4 linked regions of the Astyanax mexicanus genome follow. The protein of the gene in region 3 interacts with the protein of the main gene of each other region in a pairwise test. Links are inferred from orthologs where the notes say so. Each region holds a gene or a part of one and is shown on either strand. Other genes may lie near its edges. The genes, in order: dhps, natd1, nif3l1 and cdkn2c.

Evidence for each region.
Region 1: the proteins of nif3l1 (region 3) and dhps interact in binary tests that used the Homo sapiens proteins (3 or more experiments, as listed by UniProt). The two-hybrid records come from large-scale screens. The link is inferred for Astyanax mexicanus from reciprocal best matches to the Homo sapiens genes NIF3L1 and DHPS.
Region 2: the proteins of nif3l1 (region 3) and natd1 interact in binary tests that used the Homo sapiens proteins (3 or more experiments, as listed by UniProt). The two-hybrid records come from large-scale screens. The link is inferred for Astyanax mexicanus from reciprocal best matches to the Homo sapiens genes NIF3L1 and NATD1.
Region 4: the proteins of nif3l1 (region 3) and cdkn2c interact in binary tests that used the Homo sapiens proteins (3 or more experiments, as listed by UniProt). The two-hybrid records come from large-scale screens. The link is inferred for Astyanax mexicanus from reciprocal best matches to the Homo sapiens genes NIF3L1 and CDKN2C.

Annotation. Positions count from the first base shown.
Region 1 is NC_064426.1:39,364,001-39,371,265, forward strand, and holds the start of dhps (deoxyhypusine synthase), read right to left. Parts: upstream 3,002-7,265; 5' UTR 2,854-3,001; intron 1,338-2,853; coding exon 1,143-1,337; intron 95-1,142; coding exon 1-94. Other genes in the region: guanine nucleotide-binding protein G(I)/G(S)/G(O) subunit gamma-7, read left to right, coding at 5,097-5,192, 6,258-6,383. UniProt on the Homo sapiens protein: Catalyzes the NAD-dependent oxidative cleavage of spermidine and the subsequent transfer of the butylamine moiety of spermidine to the epsilon-amino group of a critical lysine residue of the eIF-5A precursor protein to form the intermediate deoxyhypusine residue.
Region 2 is NC_064426.1:27,674,795-27,681,728, forward strand, and holds the start of natd1 (protein NATD1), read right to left. Parts: upstream 3,026-6,934; 5' UTR 2,869-3,025; coding exon 2,772-2,868; intron 478-2,771; coding exon 359-477; intron 1-358.
Region 3 is NC_064422.1:9,929,051-9,936,992, reverse strand, and holds the start of nif3l1 (NIF3-like protein 1), read right to left. Parts: upstream 3,012-7,942; 5' UTR 2,952-3,011; intron 2,911-2,951; exon of another isoform or gene 2,889-2,910; intron 1,734-2,888; 5' UTR 1,720-1,733; coding exon 1,245-1,719; intron 1,148-1,244; coding exon 991-1,147; intron 1-990. UniProt on the Homo sapiens protein: May function as a transcriptional corepressor through its interaction with COPS2, negatively regulating the expression of genes involved in neuronal differentiation.
Region 4 is NC_064419.1:46,763,185-46,770,482, reverse strand, and holds the start of cdkn2c (cyclin-dependent kinase 4 inhibitor C), read right to left. Parts: upstream 3,006-7,298; 5' UTR 2,044-3,005; coding exon 1,915-2,043; intron 1-1,914. UniProt on the Homo sapiens protein: Interacts strongly with CDK6, weakly with CDK4. Inhibits cell growth and proliferation with a correlated dependence on endogenous retinoblastoma protein RB.

The sequences.
Region 1 (7,265 bases), on a different chromosome or scaffold from region 3:
AGAAGATGGTACAGCCTGAACGACCCTGCTGAGAGTCACCAGCGTCCTGCTGCTCCTCCTCCGGCTCCTCCACCACCTCCAGCCTCTTCTCAATCTAAACACAGCACAGGTATTACAGGTCCTTCAGAAGAGACAACATAAGATTTATGTCCAAATGTCTGTGGTTTACTCTTTTTCAGCTGTGTATTGGCAAGAACTTGGCGATATGATACATATCAAAATGCAGATAATAATAATAATAATAATAATAATAATAATAATAATCATTTTAACAAGTTTAATAAGTTCAACTTATATATCGCCTTTCCCAAACCCAAGGACACTTTACAAATACAGAAAAAAAAAATATATATATATATATATATATATATATATATATATATATATATATATATATATATATATAGCAAGATATTGCAATACTGTTAGCAAGGCAATATAAAACTAAGTAAGTTTAAACTTTATTTTGTACCCAATCAGAACACTGCTGTCTAGTGGGCGGGGTTTAAACCTAAACATAGAATGAACCACTTCTGACACCAATCTTAACAGCATTGAGATTTGAAGTGGAACTGTATTCTCTGGACTGATGGTGCTCCATCCATTACTGTTAAGTAGAGATGAACAATGATATTAAAATTATATCAGTACTGGCTAAAAATTACTTTTTTTTTAAACCAATATTTACTGATCTATCTATTGTATGCCGGAAAAGTTGTAGTGGGATTTGTGGTCTTCCTGTGAGTTATAAATATGTACATATATGTGTATACATTTGTAATATTGGCCCAAAATTTCTACATTAGTGTATCCCTACTTTTAACATATAGAGGGAAGTTGGGGAGATGTTAAATGCTGCTTACACTGGATGTTTATGCAAATGAGTGTATATACAGAACCAGTCAAAGGTTTGGCCACTTGGACACTATTATGACTCAAGTACTACTAAAACAATATGACTAAGAAATGAAGGTCAATCCGTATCCTCAAATGCAGTCACTACAAAGACTATCACAGAAAGGTTATGATGAAACTGGCTCTCATCAGGACCACCCCAGGAAAGGATAAGCAAGAGTTTCCTCTGTTGCACAAGACACGTTCATCAGTAATCAAGTAAAGTAGACAGAGGGAAAGAGTCTCACCATTTTGTTAATCTCCTGCACGGCCAGGCCGAAGCTGCTGGCCTGGAAGCCTGTGGTGAGGTAGGAGTGCAGCAGGGCTCGGTGATCCACCCCCTGGTTAAAGTCGTAGCCTCGGATCCGCGGCACGTCCTCCGGCAGAGCGGCGCTCTCCTTAAGCACCGCATCCCTGGCCACGGAGGGCACACTGTCCGCCATCTGTAGATAATGCACAGAGTACAGTAATACTGTCACCATTACAGATATTTAGGTTAGGTTACTCTTACAATAACTGATATTTTAAGTGCTGTAAATTTGATCTAAAAACTATTTGGTAGCAGAGACTTCCTGACTGTCAGCTGTGGTGTTTTCTGTAACATGGTGGTAAACACTGGTCACTCCGATTACTGCTGTACAGTAAAAAATCCAATGTTCTTTCTGTCTTTTTCTCTCTCTCACTTACTCGATTTTCAATTCCACCTTAAATGCAGCACTTAGGCTTGTGTGCTTGGTTACACAAAATCTACCTTCACCATGCGTTAGTCGAACAATAGGCTCTTTTTCACATAACAAACTGCAGGAAATGGCAAATAAATATTCAGAGTATGTAGAATATAATTCAAACAAACCTTAAATTCAGGGGTTCTTTTTGTACTTGTCAAAAGGTGACAAATTTTATTGAGATAGGGATTTCATTTTCCAGCAGGACCTGGAACACTGCCCGCACTGCCAAAAATACCAATTGGTCTTACAATATAATATTCTAATGTTCCTGGTTGTAAGTCATTATCATCAAAAAGAAAATAAATAAACATTTTAAATAGATCACTCTGTAATTTTCACATTTTGAATAGAATTACTGAAATAAAAAAAGTAACTTTTCAATGAAAACCTAATTTCTTTGAGATGCACCTGTACACTGAATAGCCCTATTTGAGTAATGTTCTAATCCATATTATGAGAAGCAAGACCTACTCAACTAAGTAAATAAAAAAATACTTTAAGAAATGAAGGTCAGTCAATACGAGAAATTTCAAGAAATTTAAAAGTATACTCAAGTGCGGTTGCAAAGACAATCGAAAACACAATGATGAAACTGGCTCTTATCAGGAGAGCAGGAGTTTACAGCCTCAGAAATGATGCAACAAGCATCAGAGCCACCTCTTTTGGTTTGTTTAACACTTTTAAGTTACTACATGACTTCTTATGTGTTCCTCCATAGCTTGGATCACTTTAGAATTCATTTACAATGTAGAAAATTATAAAAATACAAAAACATTTACTAAAAAATTGTGTCTTTTGACAGGTAGTGTATACTGTACAAGTCCAGGCTGTATTTGACTATTTTTTCTTACTGGAATTTTCTATTCCACCTTAACTAGAGCCCTGGATACACTCAGGCTTGTGTATGCTTGCTATATGTCTACACAGGATCTGCTGCATCATTTAAGGTGGAATGAAAAATTTGCTCTGCACAGGTTCTTATGACTGAGAGAATGAATAATAGTGTCGATAACGACAAGAACACTTCTAGAGAAATGGTTAAAAAAGGCTTTTATTTATTTAATAAAAATAAAAACAGACTTTTATTATGGGTGTGTTATTGATACAGCAGCAGCAGTGCTGCAGTAATATAAGCAGCTAAATGAGCTAAAGCTAACAGGACTGTAATAATAAACACTGATCTGAGAACAGCTTTCTTGTGCAGTTATTACTGACTGATACACACACTTACCCTGCAGGAGCTGAATCCGGATCAGGAGCTGGAGCTATTAATTATCTGTATTGATCTGTATTTATCTGTTATCTGTGTTCAGGAGCAGATGAAGCTACACTGCAGCCTCATCACTCACACTGATCCCACGTTGTTGCTACAAAGTACGGCGGCCACGTTGGGACAAACTAGTGGAGGGAGACGGATTTCGCGTTCGAACAGTTTTTATAAACGTTAGATTAAATCAATCAATTTTTTAATTATATATTTTTCTAATTCTTTATTTTCACACAGTAATATATTAAGGGCAATCCTCATTTTTAATGCAGCAAGCATTTAAAACTTGAAGGGACTAAAAAATAGATTTAATTTGAATTAAAATCAAGAAACTTCATAAACAATATCATAAAAAATAAATGGAAAAATTATTAGAAAACAAGCAAACAATATAAAATTGAATAAAGAAGAAGTAAAATAATTCAGAATAAAAGCTTAAGTTGACAGGCAAAAATGTAAAGCAATAAAATAATAAAATAATTGCAATAGTACAATTTATAAAATAAAAAATAAATAAAAGGTTCAATGAATGAAATTTCAATATAAATAATGAAAGGTAAAAGGCCAAAAGTTTAATAAATGAAATAAATAAAAAGACAAAATAAATCAAATAAAAAGTAAAAGGTAAAAAAAAAGGTAAAAAAAAAATCAACTAAAACAGTTAAAGTTACAATAATTTAGTGATACCGGTCAACCCTTATTTTTACTCTGTAATACATTAAGGGCAACCCTAATTTTCAATGTCGCAGAGCATTTAAAACTTGAAGGGACTAAAAATTTTAATTAAAACGAAACTCAAGTATTTAATCAGGAGAGCTAAAATAAGGAACTTAAACAAAAAAACAAAAAACAAAAGATATGGTAAAAGTATTTGAAAAACAAGCAAAAAATATAAGATTTGCTTTAGAAGAAATTAAATAATTCAGAATAAAAGGGGGCTTAAAGAACACTCAAGTCACTTATTTAATAGAGCACTTAGAGTCTGTCTATAGAGTCTGTCTACTGTCTATCGATAATTTTAAGAATGTCTTACCAGTTAGTTCTGAATATATAATTTTAGTTAAGCTCAGTTAGCACTCTGAAAAGGGATCTGGGAGACAAAAAAAATAATAAAAAAAGCATAAAACAACCAACAAAACATAAAAAAACAAATAAAAAAATATTTATAAACATATTTATTTCTGTAAAAATGTTGAGCCTTTTCTTATTTTTGACATGCATTTACTAATGTGACATTTAAAAGAAAATGTCTCATTTAGCAAAATGTCTGTTAACAAGTATATGCGTTAATATAATTCATCCAGGTATTGCAGGTCTTTCTTTCCTGCTGCTGTTAGACTCTAAAACCAACCCACATATACACACTTCATAAACACACACTTAAATACTACATACTTATAGAAAATATATGTTTTTTTGTGTAACATAATGTAAAATATTTTTTTTCTTTATCCCAATGCAATTAAGAGGCAATGTGCAATGTGCAATTATTTGTAAATACAATCTACAATCTAAAGAGTTTTTGACTTTTTATGATTTATATTGTATATATTATATTGTTTATTTGATCTATTTTATTGTAATGAGTGCCTTGTTATCCATTTGCTGCTGAAACACTATGAATTTCCCCACTGTCGGACTAATAAAAGAATTATCTTATCTTATCTTATTTTATTTTGTCTTATCAACAATATTACAATAAGGATACAATAAACAATAAAACAGGTTATTTGGGAATTGTAGCAAACAATGATATAATGTAGCAAAGTTCTGATATGTCTGAATTAGATTTTTAATCTGTTTAATGAATTTAATGTATTAGTTTTATAACATTTGTACTGTTGTTAAAATATTTATACATATATAATTATTTTTATCTTATAAAAAATCCATTATGAATAAACTGGGTAAAAGCTAAACTGACACACACACACACACACAGGTCAGCAGCTCTATATATCCCTCCAGGGCTTCTCCTCTGATAGTGTGTGATGTGGGCCTGACCTTTCCACACCTGCCTGTGTGACCTTTCAGCTCGGCCACATCACAGAGCTGTGTGAAGTGGTCTTCAGAGTGACCGCAGGTGCCCGGGGGGGATGGAGGGTGGGCACAGGTTAAATAACCTCCACCACGACTCTCAGTTCCATATCTCCATATCACACTCCATATCTGAGCAGGACTTGGATGACCTGATGAGGAGCTGAAGGATGGAGGCTGGGAAGGTGTACAGCAGCAACACCGTCCTCCAGGCCAGGAAAGCGGTGGAACAGCTGAGACTGGAGGCCGGCCTGGAGAGGATCAAGGTAGGCAAAAGGTCATGTAATAACTTAAAGGTGTTAAACAAACCAAAAGAATACTCTTTGAAGCACTTACTTGTGGTTTCTGAGGCTGGTAACTTTGATGAACCTTTCATTTTCCATAAATGTAGTGGTCCTGATTAGTGCCAGTTCCATCGGAACATTTTTTGCGACATTGCGACTGCGTTTAAGTTTAGTTTCAAAGTTTTTGAAATGTTTCGGGTTGACTGACCTTCATTTTTTAAAGCTCATGTCTGTAAATTTTGGGATTTGGGGGATTTAATGCCCTCTCTGGTGAGAGTGGGTAATTGCACCGAGCATGCGGAAGTCATTTTAAACTGGGCGGGTGTGATGGGGTCTCCTTTCAGAGCGGATGAATCCGATTCCAGGTTATGTTCAGTCAAAGAGAGAGAGAGAGAGCGCTCAGTCAGAAACTTCACTCCTTCGTTTCTTTGCTTTTACTATGAGTAAATGAATGAGCTACTGAGCTCTGAGTTTCCCCTTCTGAAGTCTCCATTGCTCCACCAGCTGCTCGTGTTCAGTAAAACTGAGCCGGATCCTCTTTTAGAGGCTGTACTTGTGACCCAAGTATGTAAAGACACATGACATGGCCAGAAGAAGAACTCCCGCGAAAAGCGACATGACACCCAGCCTGAATTCTAGGTGACTCTACCTCATAAAGCTGACTGAAAAAAAATCAGCCAAGAGGGGCTACTTTGAAGAATCTAAAATATAAAACATATTCTAGTTAGTTTAACACTTTTTTGTTTACTAAATAATTCTATATGATTTTCTTCATAGTTTTGTAGAATGATGACTTTATTGTTAATCTGCAATGCAGAACATTTTAGAATAATTAAAAATAAAAAACTCTAAATTTAATGACTTAAGGCTTTCTGAATGAAAGAAAGTTTGATGCTACTGTTTTAGGGTCTCAGAAGAAAATGTATTGTTGAAATTTTGATTCTTCTTCCTAAAAAAACAAAAAGAAATAAGCTAAGTAATAACCTTAACCCTATTGGCTGGGCGTCTGGTGATAGTGATAGTGATGTAATGCCATGTTTCTTGCAGATTTCGGCTGCAGCTGCTCAGCTGGTTCAGTACTGTCAGGAGAACCGGCGTGGAGATCCACTGCTGACCGGCATCTCTGCCTCATCAAACCCTTTCAAAGACAAGAAAACCTGTGTGCTGCTATAGGAGAACCAACAACCATGAAGCCACACATGCATCACTAATAAAGACAATGAAAATTCTGGTAATCTGTAAGAAATAATATAGCATATTTATATATAGCATATGTAATATAACAAGAACACCAAGCAAAACCTACATAATATTTTAAAGATGTTCTGACTCAATGTATCTATCCATCAGTATAGCTTTTGCCCAACTTCCATGCATCCCACACATCAACTTCCAGAAATGACTGTTCACTTGCTGCCTAATATGTAGATAAGATAAAAAGTGCCAATATAATGTGATAATCAATGTTATTTACTTGAATATTCAGGCTGATTATTGTAGACTGTATATATATTTATATTATGAAAGGTAATACCCAGTAGTGGTATCTAAAGCTCTCTTTTAGCATCACTTGTGTTGTAAATGTTCTGTATTATGGATTAATTTCACAGCTTTAACTCTGTATAATGTACTGTATGCGTCCACTGACAAACAAGTATCTCCATTTTTGTTGATATTTAGTTCATTACGTAATTTAAACAGACAAACTGTCCTTTACACTGTGCCAAAATGTCTTGATAAAAAGACCAGTAGAAATACTTCAAAATGACTTGAAATTAACCCTTTTTATATCTTTTTATAAGTTTTTTTTCTCTTTCCTGTAAAGTTGCTGTTTTGGAGATACTTGTTTTTCGTTGGACAGCGACTATATACACTATTACTATTTAAAGGCAATGATACATCTTGTTTAAACTTTTTTTGTCTTTCTCTGACAATTCAAATAAGTGAAACATTGATGTTTTTGCCTTTTTACTGTTTTTTAATGCACTGCAATTTAGTTTTCAACTCAAAACACAACTCAGTTTAAAAAAAAAACACACATTATATGATCAAATA
Region 2 (6,934 bases), on a different chromosome or scaffold from region 3:
TATTTCAAAACAATATTTGATTAATTGCCTTTATTAAAACCAAACAGAGCAGGAATTTGGAGGATTTAAATAAATGCTATGAAATATCTGCATTATATTAATTTAACTGAAATGACAACAGAAATGTAGCCCCCATATAAATGTTAAATGTCTATTAGCTTTAAATGATATTTAAAGAAAACACAGTACATGGCATTCCCACAGATCACAAATCAAATTTCTGTTATCCTGACATTGGATTCTTACTGGCCAACACTGGCCTATTGGTCACACTCTTGGCAGTCCGGAGACAGATAAATTAAGGTCATAACTCATACATGAATTCCTCTTCACTCTATCTACAGTTATAAAACTCCACCTTGGCCAAATGCTTGGCAATGCCCCGTCCTCTGTAGGCATCTGGCACCTCAGTGTGTTGCAGGTCCACAGTCTTCTTCCCCACATACTCATACAGCAACACGGCTCTATCATAAGAACCTACCAAACAAAGGATGAGTAAAAAATAATTAGTATTGTAAACAAACCAGATTTTTTTTACAAGATATATATGTGTAGGCCTCAGTTATCTGTGATTTGTTCTGGCTTTATTGACTGTTTAATATTAAAAATGATACAAATTATAATTATTGAGTTTTTCAGTTGTGTTCATTTATATTTTTTATTTGCTTTGATGATTTGCTATAAAAGCACAGTATAAACAGTTTACAACCTTCCTTAACTGAGTTTTCCCCCTGGGTAATTATGAAAATGCTAAATAATAAACAGAATTATGACGCTAATGTAGGTCAAAATAGGTTAATTAGGTCAATGATATGCCGCCCCTGATGTATCAAGGTAGAACAAAAAGGTAAATACATTAAATGTTCTCCCGGATTAATGGTTTCCTCATTTTAACAAACCATCCCCTGATGTTAAAAAAAACTGCATCCTCAGTTCAACAATTTGTTCACTCAATGTAACAGTAACTTAGTTTAGTAAGTTGTTTCCTCATTTAAGTAAATAATTACAAGTGTGCCCTCAATTTACATAATTGTTACCTCAGTTTAGATGTTTGTTATCTACATTTAATACATTCTTATCTTAGTCTAACAATTGTTTGCCTTAATTTAATGAACTGTTCCCTCTAGGTGTGCAAGAAAATATTGATTCTACATTTTGTTTTGCAATACAGTGTAGGTCTTTAATTATTAGTTTACTTGTAAATATTGGTTTCGGAAGGTGGTTCATTTTGTGTTGTGTTTAAACCCTGTCCACTAAAAGGCACTGTTGTACCCTGTCCTTAGATCCCACTGTTCTGTTTGCTTAAAATGTCAACTTGTCCTAAATTGAGATTTTCCAAGTATTTTTCTAATATCACAATAAATTAAACATTTTGGTTTAAACATGTAAAGGGCTACTAAACCCCCTAATTTTAGCTGACTCCACCCTCAGCTCAAATTTGAAAAATGCTAAAAAATGAGAGGGGTAGATTGGGAGGGGCACTGGGTGATGTATGGGTTTAGAGGTGGGGCAGGAGGCAGAGCTGATTGGCTGAGCTGCAGCAGCAGCAGCAGCGTGCCTCTGACAGTGGCAGGACCCAGATGGTTGGATGTCAGCAGTGGGGTGGTATTATCGATTGATCTGTATATTGTGATGTGTCTGCGTACCAAAGTACAGGCGGAAATTACCTTAATAAAAGCGTTTTTTTAAGGTTAGGAAATGTTTATAAACATTTTAAGCAGGACTGGTATGTTTTAGAGTTTAGTGGCTTTTTAAGCAATATATTATCTTGCATCACATAGGCCTATCACAAGAATGACACTATCTTTACTTTAAAAGTGGATGAATGCTTTATTATGCTATTCAATTACCACTATGTCAGTGGCCTGTGCCCTTAATTTGGGGCATAAACTGTTCTTTCAGTTTAATAAATGGTTATTCCAATGTAGTTAAATGTAATGAATGCTTCACTTCATCGACGAACCCATTTTACACTAGCTAACTAAGCCTCCATAAATTGCTTTTCTTCTTTGATAGAAAAAGCTAAGCTTGGGTTTGAAGGTTTTCAGCTACGGGTTCAGTGAAAACCACACTGACAGAGGAAAAAAACAACTGTGTGTCTGTTTTGTTTTGCACAGATAATCTCTTGTTATTGATGTAACAGGAAGTCAAACGAGGGCTGGCTAACAAAATACAGCTGAAAAGCAACTAAATCTGTGTTTACATTCGAAAATATCTCCAAACAAACGAAAGACCTTTCTAAAATGAGTTTTCCTCACCTGAATCTCGAGGTTTAAGCTGTTAAACGGGCGTGAATGTCGAATTTTTGCTGTGTAGCGAGCTTAAGGGTAATGAGAGCTGGCTAGTTGCTAAGGTTGAGGAAAAACATATACATTAGCTAAGCTAAGCTAGCGGGCGAACTTGTAACCTAGGTTAACGCTTGGTTTTAATGTTTTGGCTTTACAGGAAAAAATACAGGACGAACGAGATTCAACTAACTAGTTACTTAAGTCTATGTTTTAATGTTGCTAAGCTTGTTAACTAGGTTCACTAGTTAGGTTAAATGACTGTTAACAGAGAAGAGGGAAAGTGTTGAGCTAGCAGCAGTGAAGAGCAGAGCTGTGAGCACTGCTGTGGACTAGTTCCAGAGGACTAGCCAGCCGGCTAACTAACGCTAGCCCGCCAGCCAGCCAGTGTCACTCAGCCGAGCCGAGGCTGTAATGAAAACAAAGGTACAGCCCTGCAGCGCTGCTCTCTCCCTGTCCCCGCCAGCCCAACTCCAGCCTCTTTACCGTTGAGACGGATGCTAAACTGCCGCCGCTTCTTGTCGTGCTCGACCCGAATGGGGCTGCTGATCTCCAGGATGTTGATCTGGGCGGCCTGGGCCATGGTGCTGGAGCAGCGGTGCGCTAAAAGTCGGTGAGAGCGCTGCGTCTGATACAGCAGCAGCAGCAGCAGCAGCAGCCCCGAGACGCAGGCTGAGAGCCGGGCTGGCCCAGGCGGACTGAGGGCGTTCAGACAGCCCAGCAAAAAAACACTCCATCCAAAAAAATCAGCTGTGAGCCCACGTGTTCGCCTCAGCCAATCAGAACACGCAGGCAATGTTTTGATGCGCGGCCTCGTGATGCACTTGCCGCACCTGACCGCTAGATGGAGACCGTATTACTGTAACCACGCAGGGCCAAAAATATCCAGATAACAGTTAGCAGTGGATGATGAATTTTAATAAAATAAAAAGCCTTTTCTAAAAAAAAAACATTTTCCCTCAAAAAAACAAACAAAAAAAATACACGGATCAGCCATGGTCAGTGTAACGTTTATTATTTTTTTTTCTGACTGTTTTTTCTGACTGACTGGCTAAATGCAAAAATATAAAATTGGATGTAAAAATTCATTGGTTTTTATGTAATGCAGTGTACAATAAATACTTTTTATCAATTTATCCAATTATATATTTTTCATCTCAAAAATAAAAAGGAATCTTTTCTTCATTTTCTGATTTTTCCATTTTTGCATATTGCAAGGATTATACCATCAGATATGTGTTACAAGATACAAAAATGGACCCATCTGAAAAGCGAGAGAAGATTCACTTTTTCATTTTTCTTGAAATTCTGTTTGCCAAAGGCTGAAATGAAAAACTATATAATTGAAAAACTGGATGGAAACCCATTTCTTCTTCACTTTACTGAGTGAAAAAAAAACAATGATTAAGTTTTATACCCAATTTTCTATTTTCGAATTTAGCTTGATACAGTCAGAAAATTAAACTGCCAAAGTATTTTAATAGTAGGTCACTTGCCCAAAAGTATCTGGATAGCAGTGGATGAATTTTAATAAAATGAAAACTAAATATATAATAGGTCATATAATAAAAAAGCCTCTACTTACTCAAGACAAGAAAAAAACATTTTCCTTAATGAAAATAAACAAATAAGTTTAAAACAACTGAAACTAAGTGAAAAACATGGATTCATGGCCAATAGTAGTCAGAAAGAATGAATTGTAAAAAAATAATAATAAAAAAAATTATATTTTTATTTTTCTAGAAAAAAAAACTAAATTCCACTCATTAAAATTCACAGATAAGCCATAACATTAAAATGTCTAACGTAATGTAAAAAACATTTTGAATCAATTAGTGAACCTTTGTTTTTTTTTTTATTTGTTTTTTTTATTATTTCAATGCAGCATTTTTAGTGCATTTATAAAGAATTTAAAGAAACTGAAAAAAATAGTTATAGTTATAAATAGTTTAATCAGGTAAAAAAAAGAGAAACTACATAATACATTTTTAAAAATAAAAAATAAATATAAATAAGTAACTCAAGTAATTATATTTGTTATATTTGTGATATATTTTTTGTTTTTAGTAAATGTCATTTACTCTAAACAAATACATAGCAGAACAAAAGCTCTTTTTATTGGACAATAAAAAAAATGTAAAGTGAAAAACACTGATTACTCACTTTAAAGTAATATATAAAATATAAAGGGAGTATTGGTGAATTCTAACAACAATAACAGACATAAGGCCCACCTTGGCCTACAGGACTTGCTGCTGAATATTGGTGCCTCAGTTCACACTTCAGAACACTGTGTGTTTGCTGGAACAAGGAGGACCTACCTACACCAAATTAGGCAGGTTTTTGAACATCAAAGCTCATTGGTGCATATACACTTTAAGCACAGTTGCAAATCCATGCACAGAAACTTCACGGGCCAGCATGGATTAAAGGTCTAGAGTGTTTCTCAATAAGTGCAATTGCAGTGCCAGCAATGATGCTCAATTGAAAATCCTTATTAGTTTAGGCTTAGGCTTAATAATTAGTTGCCAGGAAACCAGTTCCTATATTGGTTATAAGACAGAGTTGCTAATAATGCACACAGGAGTTTTATAAAAGAATTATAAACACACAAAGGAACAACATGAAAAAGGTAAACGAGTTCACAGTGAGCTGAAGTAGATTAGGATTTATGGTTTCGAGAGCTGCTTCTAGAACTCCCAGATTAAATATAGAACTATTTCAGAATTTCTGTTGGAAACCATTACTTCAGTTCAGTTTAGTGATGGGCTGTAACATTACTCTGACTGTAGGAGTGGTTTTTTTTTTTAAGTCAGGTTATTACAAGAAAATTCTGCTGGAGGACAATATACATTTCAGATAATAATATTTCAGATTGGTCTTAAAAACTACAGAAAAGTCTTTCTTTGTTAACCCTTTAAATCAATGTCATCACTGTAAGAAACCTCCTATTGTTTTTTTTTTCACTTTGCAATTATGTTTATCAGGAAATATTTATATTTTCTTAAAATGTATATTTTCTGGAACAACCAGAAAGTGATCTTTACAAAGGGTTTGATACAGTGTTCAGAATTGCTCCCTGTTACAGAAATAGTGAAAATTATGGTGTGTTTGTAGAGTTTGAAATCTCAACAGTACATTTTATTTCCTATAAAGTTTACAATTGAACACCCATAACACATTGTAAAAAATGTCCAATGTATACCATAATGTAATGTCATCAGAAAAGCACTATGCAAGATGTTTTGTTGTTTGGGTTTTCCCTAAACAGCAAATATTATTTTGTGGCGTGGAAGAGGAAGGAAGACCCGTGAGACTCATGCTGAATGCTCAACAGCTCCTTTTATTGAACCAGCTTGCCACTCACTCAGAATCTTTAACAAGACTAGGAGAGCTAAATCATTAAACCAAAGAGCTAAATAAATCCGTGTATCATTCGTTCATTTGATATTCAATTGAGAATCAAAATCGGAAAATTAAAAAAACAATTCGTTTTTTCGTTTTTGAATATAATACCAAAAAACGAATAACGGCTTGTATTTTGTATTTTTATTTGGTTATCCAAACAAAAATTGGAAATTTAAAAAACGGACCAGGAGCCGAATTTGATTTTGATTTTGAACTTGACCCATTTGTGTGCCCGGAAGTTACTGATTTGTTTATTCTTGGTGGGTTTCTGTTGCGCGGGAGTTCACTGCAGTGTTATCTACACAGTCTGTATTGCTGTAGGCTTTGGATGGAGTTGAGGATGGAGAGTTTTATCTTGTTCAGAGGAACTAAACGCGTTGCAGTGAAAGAAGACGATATGACAACAGAAAATACATGTCTTTTTCGCTTAAGGTCGTGTTGAACACAGAACCTTCTAACACTCATTGCAGAACATCGCTGGATCCCCATTTGCTGCAACGTGCACGAAATCTCTTCATGCGTCTTACCACCTTCAAAAAGATCTTTAATTAGGCCAGAATGTGGTTCCAGTCCGGCCATGCTGCCTACAGCAATACAGACTGTGTAGATAACACTGCAGTGAACTCCCGCGCAACAGAAACCCACCAAGAATAAACAAATCAGTAACTTCCGGGGCACACAAATGGGTCAAGTTCAAAATCAAAATCAAATTCGGCTCCTGGTCCGTTTTTTAAATTTCCAATTTTTGTTTGGATAACCAAATAAAAATACAAAATACAAGCCGTTATTCGTTTTTTGGTATTATATTCAAAAACGAAAAAACGAAAAAACGAATTGGTTTTTTAATTTTCCGATTTTGATTCTCAATTGAATATCAAATGAACGAATGATACACGGATTTAATTAGCCCAAAGGCCACCAACCCAGCTGTGTGTCTCCCAGATGGCAGATCCAGAGTGGTGCCCACCCTCTCTGCATAACCCCTCCCAAGGGAGATGCCCCACCCCTGTCATCCTCGCACACAGGAGAACAGAACATGCCTGCAGGCAGCCACACACACAACCCAGAGCCGCCACAATATAGTGAATAGTAAAGGAGTTAATGAGTGAACCATTCCAAACTCAGCGCAGGTCTGACCCTAACTCTGATGTTTTGACCAGCTCAGTGGACATTTCATGAGCTTGTTTGATTAAGTTTTGAGTACAAAATAAAAGATGCAAGTGATCAAGTATTAAATGCCA
Region 3 (7,942 bases):
CCTCTTTTTACACGTTAGAATAGGTCTATGGGCTATAGTACAAAACATGTTCGTTAAGTTCTTTATACAACATCACTCTTACATAGAAAGACCACCAACTCTATTCTCATCAGTTTCAGTCCTTTTCAGAATTAGTTCACTTTTTAATGGCCATGCCATGCTCACAATTAGCTTTTAGAGATATAACACAGCAACACTTCAGCAGGTAGTTCAGAAGGTAGATTAAACTCGGCACATTACAGTATTCTAGTTTAAAAAGCATCAATCATACCCTAAAATATTATAATACATTAAATCTACCCTGAGATTCCAGTAAAAAAGGATCTAATCTGCTAGGTGTAACCCACACTACACCATTATTACTGTCCCTTTCCCAAAAATTAAAAAATGTAAAAAAATTTATATGTACCAACATATAAAAAATATAATCATTATTTATTCTTTGATTTTAGTCACATAATATTGTTATAATAAATATAATACTTTTTTAAGGGGTCAGCACCAATAATACAAATCTTAGTGTTTATAACACTGATTTTTTTTATTTGATTCATTTTGATCAATTGCAGAATTCTATTATGAATTCTATTAATTAGGTTTTTGTAATGGATTGACACCACTAGTTTTAATGCTTGCCATCAGCTATCAGAGCCCTGAGAGAGCACAATTGGCCTTTCTTTCTCTGGGTGGGTACAGTAGATGGCGCTCTCTCCCCACATTACTCCAAGGGTAATGTCCACAGCACAACGCATCTGTGAGCTGATGTATCGGAACCGAGTCGCTGCTCTTTCCTCCGAGCGCACTATGATGCTACTCGGTAATGCTGTATCAGCAGCAGTTCAAAAAGAGGCGGAGTCTGACTTCACATGTGTCGGAGGAGGCGCGTGGTAGTCTTTACCCTCCTGGTGTTGGGGCATCACTAGTGATAGGGGTAGTCCCAATGAGTGGGTTGGGTAATTGGCTATGTAAATTAGTGAGAAAATAACATACCTAAGCAGAGTGTACTGAAATGCTTCACTGTTTTCTGTCTCCTTCAGCAGCTTCAAGATACTGTCGAGCTCCACTTGACTTCCAGCAGTGAACTCCACCCGATGCCTCTGAGGGGCGCTGCAGAGAGCTTGGCTCAATACGGACACTTGTCCATGACCTGAGGAGAAAAATCACAAGTTACCATTTTTAAAGAAATATACTGTATTATAATAATGATGATGATGATGATGATTAATTTGAAGATGATAACTAACCCAATCCTCCTATCAGCCAGTCATTAAGGCCGTCTTTGGCGCTGTCCCATGATGTATGTGGGGAGAAGACTGCAATCCCGCCTTCTACAGCTCTGACGGCCAATCGCTGCTTCCAGTCTTTTTGGAGCAGTCGTTTGAAAGGCCGGAATAGAGGTGGGTGGTACGAGATGACAAGGTCACATGCCATCTCCTCAGCCTCGTCCATGACGGCAGACGTGAGGTCATTGGTGAGGAGGATGGTTTTGATGGGCCGTGGTCTGCTGGGTTCAACCAATAAGCCGACATTGTCCCATGATTCTGCCAGTGAGAGTGGAGCCAGTTGCTCAAGAACCCCTAAAACTCCCTTTAAATCCATGGAAACGTTACAATGGCCTGACTGAGAGAGGTGGCGAGGATGACAGCTGGGGTTTAGGGAAGACAGACAATGTCTCAGGTTGAAGAGTCTTCTGGTCACAATCCTACACCCAGGAATCATGGATGAAGCCCCAGCTGTGGAGGATCATAAAAAAAAAGTAAAAATAATAATGCAGCTGCACTGCATTAGACTTTTGTAATTAGGAAAATTCTGATATTGGAGGGATACATTAACTGGAATATAGATTTTTTTTAAATAGAAAATGTAAATAAAATCAAACTGCTGTTCAGGAATTATTCCACCAACTCAGGGTTATTCCAACAATGTTGATTTCTGAACTCTTCCTGAGTTAGTATTTTACAATACTACACTAGTTCTGTTGTTGTTTTTAAATTATTATTAACTTGTTTTCTTAGCACTATTTAAGGTCTGAAAGCACTGCTAATTTTCATAGAAGCTGTATATGCAGTGTAGTAAAGGGAAACTCTTTTGTGAATCTGTTTCAATTCCAAAACTTTCTTTAGCTTAAAAGTGTAGTTTCATTTATAGCCACTTTGTTCTATCTAATGTAAATGTTCATCTTCAGTATTATAATATATAGATCACTCTGTGTGTAATATATCTATATAATATGAGATGTACATTTTAAACTGAAATAATGTAACTGTTTAATGACATTTTCATTTTTTTTTTTTATATTGTCCATTATTGCCCATTGTAGCCCAGTACTAGGGTATTATATTACATTTTATTGTTATAAAAACCTAAAACAATATATGCGGACTATCTACAGTTTTTATTCGTAAAAAAAACCCTACAGAATATACATTTACCATTATTTTTACTTAAATTAAGTTACTTAAATTATATTGTACATATAAAATAAAAGCCCTAATACACGAGCAGACACTGTGCAGTGCTGTACTCTCCGTTCCACCTTAAAAGGTGCAGCAGTTACATAGCAACCTTCCGCACTATTTAAGGTGGAATGGCGTGTTCAAATAAAAAGTATATTTTAACGTGGCCAAATCGATTTGAGTTGTATTAAAAGACGTTTATTAACTAATCATTTCGTCCACAGCGTGGTCCACATGCTGCCTGTGTGATTAATTACAGATTCAGTGGTGTAAAGTTCTGTAATTTGTTTTGGTTAGCTGTCATTAGCTTCTGTTAGCATGCTAGGCTAACTACATAACCTAGCCAGCTAAATTCTCCCTGTTTATTTAGGCTAAGCAACTAACTGAACACAGCAGCGCACATTAATAATAAAGCTCAAACCAACAACATACTGCAGATAAAACTGCTATGAACCAGCAAAACCAGCAAAACCACATAAACCCAGCTCAACTCACCACCATACACATGTGCAGAAGCGGGGGGCGGGGCCGACCAGCAAGCCGAGAGCTGATTGGATAAGAAAATACATGACATAACATGACATCCAGGTTTTTTTTTTTTTTGCGAAAAAAGTTTAAGCTAAAAATAAAAAGGCATTATTAACAACCAGTGTGATTAAATAATTTAATATAACGTAATATATAGAAAAAGAAGTTACCATTTGCTATTAATAGGTATATATTTGAGAGAAAAAAATATTGTACAGTTTTATTCTATAAACTACAAATAACATTCCCCCCAAATTCCAAATAAAAATATTGTTATTTAGAGCATTTATTTGCAGAAAATGAGAAATGGCTTAAATAACAAAAAGATGCAGAGCTTTCAGACCTCAAATAACGCAAAGAAAATAAGTTCATTTTCATAAAGTTTTAAGAGTTCAGAAATTAATATTTGGTGAAATATCCCTGTTTTTTAATCACAGTTTTCATGCATCTTGGCATCATATTCTCCTCCACCAGTCTTACACACTGCTTTTGGATAACTTTATGCCTTTACTCCTAGTGCAAAAATGTAAGCAGTTCATATTGGTTTGATGGCTTGTGATCATCCATCTTCATCTTGATTATAATAATCTGAAGCATGCTTAAATTAGATTTGCTTATTCAGTTCTATATAGTATTGAAAGTATAAAAGTGCTAGGGAAATTGAAAGTGCACTAGATATGTGTCAGAGCAGAGCATTTAATATCCACATGTGATTTTATAAAAAAAAAAATACATCATATTACTTCTTGAGAAATATTGATAAATTATTTATTGTTGTATTTTTCAAAAACAATTCTCGATGTTTTTAAATGTTAACTTAAACTATATATTTTTCGTTAGTATGTTGCGACAATGAATAAGTCAAAAGACATATTGTTATTTTAAATCTTTACTTATTTTTTCAAACTTAATTTGTTTGACATACTCTGTCGATATAATAACTTATTTTCCTAAAATGTACATTTCTACCACACTTTCTATCTCTACCAATCTAAAATCTCTCTTTAATGTAATTATACACAAACTAAACATCTCCAGCTTTGTAAGATAAGTTTTATACCTGACATCATCAGGTTACTAAAGTTGAGAAGTAGAAAGGTAGACATGGCTGTATATTTGGTGTATTGGCCTTCAAGGGATAAAGAGACATAATGAGGTTTACATAAACATTATAATAACATCAACATTACAGCATACATGTAGCCATGCACCAGTTGTCCTCTGATCTCTGAAGATTTGTTCTGGAAATTAGTGAACAGACAGGCCATCCACATCCGCAATGAATACAGGATTCCGGGGAATCAGTCAAATCCTGAATCAGAGAATAAAGAGATGTGGCAGAAGGGCAAAAAGCTGATTACAGGAAAGGGTTACGGCCCCCGGCGGCGACACGCGACGCTCATACTGCTGAAAAACGCCAGGTCATGAGAGAGAGGGGGGATTAATTTGGATTAATGAGATGGAGAGAGGCCACAAATGTCCTGAATTTTGGAGAGATGAGAAGCAAATCAATGACAGAGGTCATTATATTACACTCTGTCTGTTACTTTCATTTTAACCTAAATTTCAATGTGTTTTAGTGCTTCATTTCCATTAAAACACTGACTTTCTGACTCAAATCGGGTACAAATGATGTTATTTCCAATCCAGTCAGATCACAGTGTCTGATATTTAATAATCTCTGTGTCTTTTTGTGTTTGATCAGTGATTTTACCATCTGCCAGGAATGCTGCTGCTGTGCAGTTTCAGTCTCTGCTTTAACCGTGAGAATAAATAACTTTGATTGATTTCAATGGCATATAACAATTCAGAAATTAGGCAAGACAAATATTTCATACACCGATAATCATGCAATATTATTACTTCATTATTAATAATAAAGAACTAGTAGTACTATTAACCTTATGTGAACTTTTTCTGCAATTGGGGTCCTTCCTGTTTGAAGACACACTTCAAAATGTTTCTTTTTTTTTCCAACATTGTAAGTGAATATGGAAGGAACACATAAGGAATCATGGAGTAACTAAAAAGTGTTAAACAAACCAAAATACTCTGTGAAGAAGCTTTTAGGTGCTCTTATCTGGGGAGCTGTTAACTTGCATTTGTTTCTGAGGCTGGTAACTCTGATGAACTTATCCTGTACAACAGAGGAAACTCTTGCTCTTCCTTTCCTTGGGCGGTCCTGATGAGTGCCAATTTCAACATAATGTTTTGGATGTTCTTTACAACTGCACTTGAGGATACTTTCAGAGTTTTTTCGATTGACTGACCTTTTTTTTTCTGACCGTCATTTCTTAAAGTGATTTTTTTTTCTTTACTTAGTTAAGTAGTTGTTGCTTCTCATAATCTGCATTAGAACATTACTCAAATATTCACTATTCACTGTATACCAAATCTACCTCCCCTTGTGAAAAGGAAGTATACTTAAGAGCATTAAAATATCTTCAAATTAGGTAAAGAATACTAAAAGTAATTTTTTTATTTCATATACTTTATGAAAATACACTTGCGCTTTAGAGTAATAGTTTTTTTATAATATACATCAAGTGTATTAAAAATCATAAAAAAAACACATACTCAAATCTATTTAAGTTTGCAGAAGTTATATGCAAAAAACACTCAAAAGCACAACTTAATGCTTGTATGTTGTATTTAAATATAGCTTAATTACAATTGAAATATACTTAAGTTACCATAAGTTGTTCCAAAATAGATACATTTAGTTTGTATTTAAGTTTGTATTAATTCTAAATGTAGGTTAGCTACCTACAGTATATTTAGGAGCAGTTTGTTTCTCTGACTGGACTGAATGAATCTCGTAATGCTCTCAGAAGGTGCAGTATTATCCACAAAGGGAAAAAGTCTCCAAAAATCTGCTGTAAGATTTGGTATTGTGTGATCTCCTGCTGCATGTAAAAAAAAAAAAAAAAAAAAAAAATATATATATATATATATATATATATATATATATATATATATATATATATATATATATATATATTATGTGTGTTTAAATAAAATATATGTGTGTTTAAACAAAAGTGACTGTAGTTCTGTATGTTTGTGTTTTTTCTCACATTTTAAATAAAGTATTTTTGCAAAGAATGTTTTTATATGGGTCGATCTGGCCCACTTTAAACGAAAATTTGGACCCCCCTGTTCTATTGCCTTCTGCAAAAAAATAAAAAATAAAAACAGCACAAGGATGAGCACAAGGGCGGGTCAAGCGCAGCAACTGGACATGTTGCGTAACGCTTTAATCAACTGAGTTTTAGAGGACATGTCTTGGCTTGGGTTGGTGCACAGAAGAGGAGTTTTTTTTTTTTACAGATGTGCGGTACAGAGGGGACAGATGTGCATGCTGGACACTGGGTGTGTGAGACAGACAGAGAGAGACAGAGAGAGAGAGAGACGGGTGCCAGAGTCCACTTTGGGTAATTGGTGGTGTAAGCCTCAGCAGGCCAGCTGTCGACCTGTTTCAGACGCACTGTGCACAGGTTATTAAAGTTATTGAGGTGTGTGTGTGTGTGTGTGTGTGTGTCTTCCGTCACTCACAAGAACGTAGTTTAAATGCATTAAATTAGGATGAGTGTGTGATTAACTGATGAGCAGCCTGGTTTCTATCTGCTGATCTGATCTGTGATTATTGAAGCAGATTAGACTGTTGTTGTCCGGCTTTATTTTTGTCTCAGGTTATTTTAGCTCGTCCTGGGATGATACACTTGAACACCAGCCAATGAAGGTCTTTACAGAATCGAGGGAGAAACCTGCATCCTTTCTGACTGTTATCAACAAAGAGTGTAAAGAATTTCCAATAGAATTAAACAATAAGTATTTTTGTCTCTATATTTTGTCCCAGACATAATTGCAATAAATGATATTATTGTCATTTTAAGAAAATGTTATGCCACATACAGGGGTTGGACAATGAAACTGAAACACCTGTCATTTTAGTGTGGGAGGTTTCATGGCTAAATTGGACCAGCCTGGTGTTCAATCTTCATTAATTGCACATTGCACCAGTAAGATCAGAGTGTGAAGGTTCAATTAGCAGAGTAAGAGCACAGTTCTGCTCAAAATATTGCAATGCACACAACATTATGGGTGACATATCAGAGTTCAAAAGAGGACAAATTGTTGGTGCACGTCTTGCTGGAGCATCTGTGACCAAGACAGCAAGTCTTTGTGATGCATCAAGAGCCACAGTATCCAGGGTAATGTCAGCATACATTGTCTGAAAGGGATGTTCGGGTGCTAACCCGGATTTTATCCAATAAACATAAAACCACGGCTGATCAAATCACGGCAGAATTCAATGTGCACCTCAACTCTCCTGTTTCCACCAGAACTGGGACAATACATTATTGTGGTCTAAAACTAGATGTTTCAGTTTCATTGTCCAACCCCTGTGTATAGTAATATAATAATACATACTATAATAACAAAGATCTCTCAGTCTGGGCTTTTCAATTACATATATTTACAGTGTTTCTCTGTTGCTTTGGAGCATTTTGCCACCAATTGTTCAATTTTCACATCATCTAGTCACTTGTGCACATCACAGAAGCCAGTTCCCATTTCTTAGTTTAACAAACACATTTTAACATCAGAAAAGAATAACCTGAGTAATTATAACAAGACTATTTAAATTTTAATTTAATCTATTATATACATTTATTGTATTAATTGTATTTGCTCTCTACATCTAATAACTTGGTTGTGCCATTTTCCAAACATACAGTTTTATTTTATGAGACTGTGGAAAAGACTGGATATCCATTATAATATAATAATATAAGAAACATGCCATTTTAATTTGTTTTAACCAGATACTTTTTCTTCATACTTTTCGGCTGCAGTGGTCCTTGACCTGATTTCTGGCCTAAAGTTAAACCGGTTTACACAGGAAGATTGGGTTGGGCACCAACAAGCAATTTAGACACAGTGTTCCTGTAATA
Region 4 (7,298 bases), on a different chromosome or scaffold from region 3:
AAATATTATATAAAATACACTTACTACCCATCTACTGCCTTACTATCATTACTATCAGAGCACACGCTGATCATCAGCCTGCAGTGTAAAAATACTAATAAAGCTGTAAGACTCCCGGAAAGATTTTCTACTGCCCATCTAAAGTAATATAATTCAAATTAGGCCATGAAATATTATATCATATACACCCACTGCCCATCTAGTGTAATGTCAGCAAAACAGGCCATGAAATATCATAAAAAATACACCTATTACCCATCTAGTGTAATGTAATAGATAACAGGCAAAATAAACATATATAATTTAAAATAAAAAAATATAGAATTGCCATAAAATTGACTAAAACAATCAAATAGAATGCCATAAAATCTTAGATCATATACACGCACTGCCCATCTAGTGTCATGTCATTAAAACAGGCCATAAAATATCATATAAAATACACTTACTACCCATCTAGAGTAATGTAATACATATCAGGCAATTAACAAATATATATATATATAGAATCGCTATAAAATTGACTAAAGCAATGAAATAAAAAGTACTTGAAAGGAAATAGAGTTAAAAATATATATCTACTACCCATCTATACTAATGTCCTCAAAACAATCCATGAAATATCATATAAAATACACCTACTACCCATCTACTGCCTTACTATCATTACTATCAGAGCACACGCTAATCATCAGCCAGCAGTGCAAAAATACTAATAAAGCTGTAAGACTGCCGGAAAGATTTTCTACCCATCTAAAGTAATATAATTCAAATTAGGCCATAAAATATCATATCATATACACCCACTGCCCATCTAGTGTAATGTCATCAAAACAGGCCATGAAATATCATATAAAATACATCTAATACCCATCTAGTGTAATGTAATTTAAAAAAGGCTATACAATATTATATGATATACACCCAATACACATCTAGTGTAATGTAATAGAAAGCAGGCAATTTGCCATATAAAATTGTAATGTGTAATCTAATAGATACAAGGCAATTTAAATATATATATATATATATATATATATATATATATATATATATATATATATATATATATATATATATATATAATTGCTGTAAAATCGACTAAAGCAATCTAATAAAAGCTAATTTAAAGGAAATGGAGTTAACAATATACATCTACAACCTAGAATCTAGAATAATGTCCTCAAAACAAGCCATGAAATATATAAAATACACTTATACCCACCTACTACCCATCTAAAAAAAATCTAAAAATACTAATAAAGCTGTAAGACTCCTCGAAAGATTTTAAACTACCCTTATAGAGTAATATAATTCAAATTAGGCCATAAAATATCGTATCATAAACCTCCACTGTCCAACTAGTGTAATGTCATCAAAACAAGCAATGAAATATCATATAAAATACACCCACTATCCATCTAGAGTAATGAAATTTACAAAAGGCTATAGAATATCATATGATATACACCTAATATCCATGTAGTGTAATGTAATAGAAATCAAGCAATTTAGAATAACAATATAGAATTACCATTAAACTGACTAAAGCAATCTTAAGTAATACAAATATAGAGTAATGCCATTAAAACAGGCCAAAAAATATCATATAAAATAGCCTACACGTACTACCCATCCTTACCCACTTACTACCTTACTATCATTACTATTTTTGTGTTATTAGAGCATGCGCTGATGCTCAGCCTGCAGTGCAAAAATACCAATTAACTAATAAACATAAAGATAATATATCTGACAGATTAGTTAATGCGGTTATAATGTAGAGCTAACTACCTAATATATATATATTTGTGTTATTAGAGCACGAGCTGATTATCAGCCTGCAGTGGAACATTACTAATAAAGCTAATAAAGTGAAGAAAGTCATCGTCGATTGTTTTATGGTTCTCCAACCTGTAATGCGGTTCTGTTGAACTCGTTCTTCTTGTTCGGGTCTACGTTGCACTGCAGGATCTGCTGGACCATTTTGAACTGCCCTGTTGCAGCTGCGCTGCACAGTTTATCTACTGTGGCTTCGGCCATCTCCACCGGACCCAACCGGAGCCGCGCGCCGCGAAGTAACGGGTTTCTACTTCAAAGCAAGCGGCTGGTGCTGCTTTCCTTAGATGACAATGCCCGAGTGTGACGCGGAGCTCCTCCACAAGTGTAGTAAATACACCCTTCTTCCAGCTCCCACCCCACCTCCCCCTAAAATAAAAAAAAAAAATGGCGCAGTGCCAAGGCCCGCCCTTGTTTTAATATCGCAACAGTGAAGCAAATTTGTAGCCAACATGGAAAACAGGGGGGGATCTCACGCCGGATCTATCCGGGAAGCAGCACCGGCAGCACCGGCAGGAGGCTTGGGGAGGCTCCGGCGCGCTCCGGCGGGCTCCGGCTACCACCTGCGAGAGCACAGCAGCGTGTCCGATCTGCAGCCGGCGAGCCTCCGAAGTTCGTCCCGGCGTCCTCAAGCTCACCCGGGCAGCTGCTCCGTGGCCGCCACGGAGAGCCGGGCTGAGCTGCTTTCTAGAAGTCGTTGCATTTGAAACAAATGCTTTGAACAAACGCAAAAATATAAAAAATATTGCACTGCAAAAAATAAGACAAACAGTTTATCACGCAGCATTACGCAGCAGCTCCAGCGCTGAAAAGACAGTCTCTTTCTCTCTCTTTCTCTTTCTCAAAAAGCTCGTGTTGCATAAACAATAATAAACCCCTCACAAAGCATGCAAAACAATCTGCATATCAATCCGCTCCTCTATCGCAAGCGTTTACCTTCACGCAGGTGCAGGCTGAGCCTCAGGGGGGAAAAATATAATAATAATAAAAGCGCTAAGTTTAAAAAAAGGTCCGCGCATTAAGAGCGAAGACGTTTAGGCTGATACAAAACCCAACAATTTAAGTAAAGTAAAATGAAAAAATATATATGTATATACATATACGCGCGAGGTGTGAAACACAGATAACAGCTAAAAAAGCGTAGAGTCAAACAGTGTCACGTCAAAAAAAAAAAAAAAAAAAAACACAGCCACCCAATGACTTTGCGGAGGATGTGCGCTGTGAAGTTTCCCGCCCGTTTCAAACTTTGAATGTCGTGGTTCAAAGTTGTGCTGCCTTCAAGTTCACCACGAAAGTTGCCTCGTAACAATTTGGGTTACGACTGACTTTGGAGCGCTTCCCAGTGCAACGCGAGTTCTGCTCACTGCTCATGTTTAAGCGGTTTTTAGGTAAAAAAAAAAAAAACACATAGAAGAAGCTGAGGAAGTAATTCTTTCTTTTTCTTTCATTTTTTTTGTTCAGTAACGTTACTTCTGTCTATTTGTTTCCAATTCTGTGAGCGATATTATGCAGTAAGTATCAAGGGTATGTACTTTTTCAGCTCTTTGATATTATTTTTTCACGTAAACATAAGAGTAAATCATTAAAATAAATGCAAAACAGTTGCTGTAAAAGTAGCGGTTTGTATTGACACGCCCCCTTAAGTAAAAAATAAAGTAGTATATAATAAAGTCGGAGCTTGTGCTGCCAGCTCGGACTTGAATACGTACACGACGTGATTTCTGTTCAATTGCAAGTGTGTTTAGGCTTGAAAAACACGAACACATGGGAAGACAGCTTTTTCTTTCGTTTGTTTCTGTTTTTCTGTTGCCAACAGAGCTGTATATATTGACAGGTTCACTTTACGCGCTGATATTTAGTGTAAACGAAACAAAATAAATAAATAACAAACAAAGAGCACTGTATAAGCTCAAGGTGGGCGTTTTTTTCTCATCCAGTAGAAATGTAGGTGTATATCTCATCTTTTCACGCGTGGATGAGAATAGTCTGCACTTGCTGCTAAATAAGCGAAGGGTTTATATTGACACGCCCCCGAATTGTAAAGTCGGGGTTTATAAATAGGAAAACTGGGGAAAATCCCTGTTTTATACTCACATGAATACGGTCGCCAGGTTGTGGCGTCCATTCACATGCAGTAATATCGGAAATATCATAATTCCGACACGATTTGAAGGGAGCGAAAGTTGCCTTTAAGAAGTCGTGCTGCCTTCAAGTCCACCTCGGAAGTTCGTACATACGACTGACTTTGGAGTTCAAGGGGTTTGAATGGAAAAGACACGAATAACAATCAGAAAAACATTTTTTTTGTATCCGTTTAACGATACAGTATCTGATTTTTGTTTAACGTGTGGATGAGGGAAAACGATTAGAAAATAGATAGCAGCTGCTGTTAATTAAATACATTAATAAACTGTTTTGTATTGACTCACCCCCACTCGTAAAGTTTCCCACTGGTAAATACTGTATGTTAGAGTGTTTGAGGTGACGTTCACGTTCATCTGTACTCATTTCGTAAATACGATCATTTATATATGACTTGAAGGTCTCTCAGTTTCTTTTTAAACCAACCACGAGCAGACAAATAAAGTGTTTCAGTTTAAGTCTGTTATATTGAAAAAAATCTATTAATGTGTATTAAATATGAACGGACGACTGAATTAACGTAAAACCGCGGTGTAGCTGCGTGTAGTTAACGTTAAGGCCAGATATAGGAGGCAGTAATTCTGGACATACATAAATACTTACTTTCTGTTATGGTTACATAGTAAAAACAGCAGCGCTACATGACGGAAAAACACGACAAAAACTAAACAAAATCAGATCTGTAACACTGCGCTGTCCCGAGTCCCAACACTTTACCCCAGCCTACCGTGTCCCTGCGGAAGGTACTGGGTTTTAGCTGACGCTGTGGGAAATAGGGAAGCAAGATAGAGAGAAAGAGAGAGGGAGAAAGAGAGAGAGAGTTTGACATCACTCATTTCTCATTTTTTGAAATAAAGGACAGAGACCTCCGCCCACTTTTCACTAACAGACGAGGGAGGAGGCGGGGCTCAACGGTAAACCATCTAAAGTCGAAGAAACACAAATCTATCTATCTCTCTATCTATATATCCATCGATCCATCCATCCATCCATCCACAGTGTCTTGCAAATGTATTAATACCGCTATGGTTGTACCTTATACTGAGGTACAACAGAGTACCTTCCAGCGAAAGTCTTTTTTGTGCCCACGTTTTTTGTACCAGTAAAGATGATAAAGTTTATAAACATGATCATCAACTGAATATGCGTCAAAAACATGATGATCCAAAATAGTCTGGCTTTCAAATGAAAAATTTAATTAAAATATATATTATTTATTAGTACAGTGATACAGAATACAGAACGCACCTTTTGGCTGGTTAAATGGTACAAATCTGTACTTCCTGCTGTTAGGAAAGACACATGTGACCCTGTAAAGACCAATATTATACCTTACAATATAAAATGGGTAAAACTTACAAGCAATTGGTTGTAACCTTACAACCAACAGATCGAGCAAGGAGAGCACTGGTAAGAGAAGCCATCAGGCCCATGGTCACTTTGCAGGAGCTGCAGAAATCTATCACAGGAGTCGTGCACATTTTTCAGGGGGTCCTGGGGTAATTTTCTACATTATGGGGGACCTTCTGTGATTTTATTCCCGAACCATGTATGACGTCCTCTAATAAAAATAACAGGCTGAATTATCTACTGTTTTTCTCTGAACTCTGTGGTCCTCCAGTAATTTTAGTCTTGTCCAGACACACATCTCTGAGTTTCGTCTCCTCATGTTTAATAAAATAGCTATTTGTCCACTGCCACACACATTGGGCACGTGTTTCCACAAAAAAACATGTAAACACAAGAGCGAGTGGAAATGGAGGAGCTACTGAACGCAATGTCATGTAACCGAGAAAGCCTAAAAACTCACTGGTCCTCCGGATGCAAGAGTTTTATCACTGAGTAGAAGTGTGAAATATTTTCACAGACGTCCTCCTAAAAAACTAATCCCGTCCAGATAGGACTTAGGCATTAAGTCACTTAATGAGTTAAAGTGTAACTAAACCCCCTAATTTTGGCTGACTCCACCCTCAGCTCAAATTTGAAAAATGCTAAACATGGGAGGGGTAGTTTGGGAGAGGCAGGGTGATGCAAGGAGAGCACTGGTCAGAGAAGCAGTCAAGAGGCCCATGGTCACTCTGGAGGAGCTGCAGAGATCTACCACAGGAGTCGTGCAATCCACAAATCTGGCCTTTATTTTCCATAAGGAACAAAACCAGTGGTGAAAGAAAGACAAAAGAAGCGGTGTTTGCCACAAGTTAAACTTTTTGGCCAAAATGCAAAGCACAATGTGTGACAGAAAAGTAACACTTCTAATTACCCTGAACAAACCATACCCACTGTGAAACATGGTGGTGGCAGCATCATGCATGTGTGGGGATGCAATTCTTCAGCAGGGACAGGGAACCTGGTCAGAGTTGATGGGAAGATGGATAGAGCTAAATACAAAGCAATCCTGGAAAAATCATGGCTGCATGTCAAAATTTTGAAAACCATGCATCATTTTTGTTCTACTTCACAGTTATGTACTAATTTGCACACATGAAACCTCAATAAAATATTTATCTATAAGTCTGTTTGTCCTTTTATACTGATTTTTTATTATTAAATAAATGTTCCTTATTTTAGCTAAACCTGATCAAAATGGTTTTAATTTTAGTTTTTTTCAGTCCTTTTACATTTTAAATGCTCGGCTGCATTGAAAATGAGAATTACTCTTAATGTATTCCCGAGTGAAAATAAAGGATGATTGATTGATTGATTATATTTTTTGCAGTGAAACAATGCCATTTCTCTCATCCTCAGACAGTTCTTTGCTTTTTTTGTAAAGAAACCTTATTGATTAATTTTAAATTTACAAATACACACAAAAACATATTAACTTATAACACTACACATACATTAACAACATTACATGCACAAGATTACGAATTATTAATTAAAAAATAAGTCCCAAAGTCCCAAGCATTACCTTTGTGATTTCATCTTCTGAGTTCAGTAATAACTTGTTTAAAAACACATTCACTTTACACATATAAATTATCAATTAATCGATAATCGATGTCAACTCTGAAAGTTCTTTGCTATGAGGTGCCATGTTGAATATCCAGTGGCCAGTATGAATGAATTTGACCCAAAGCAGCAAATTTAACAGCAAGATTTTTGAATTGGGCTGTTTTGTACCTTTGTTTTGGTTATGCCGGATTTTTTTTATAAATGCAGAGACAATAGTTTATGAGATTCATTGTTTGTCACATTTATATAGCTTCCAACCTCCTATCATTACACTAGGTAAATACAGCTTTATATTCTATTTTTCTTTACAGCTTTTTATCTTTAAAATGGTTCTTCATCACGTGTGTGGAGCTTGTCTACTT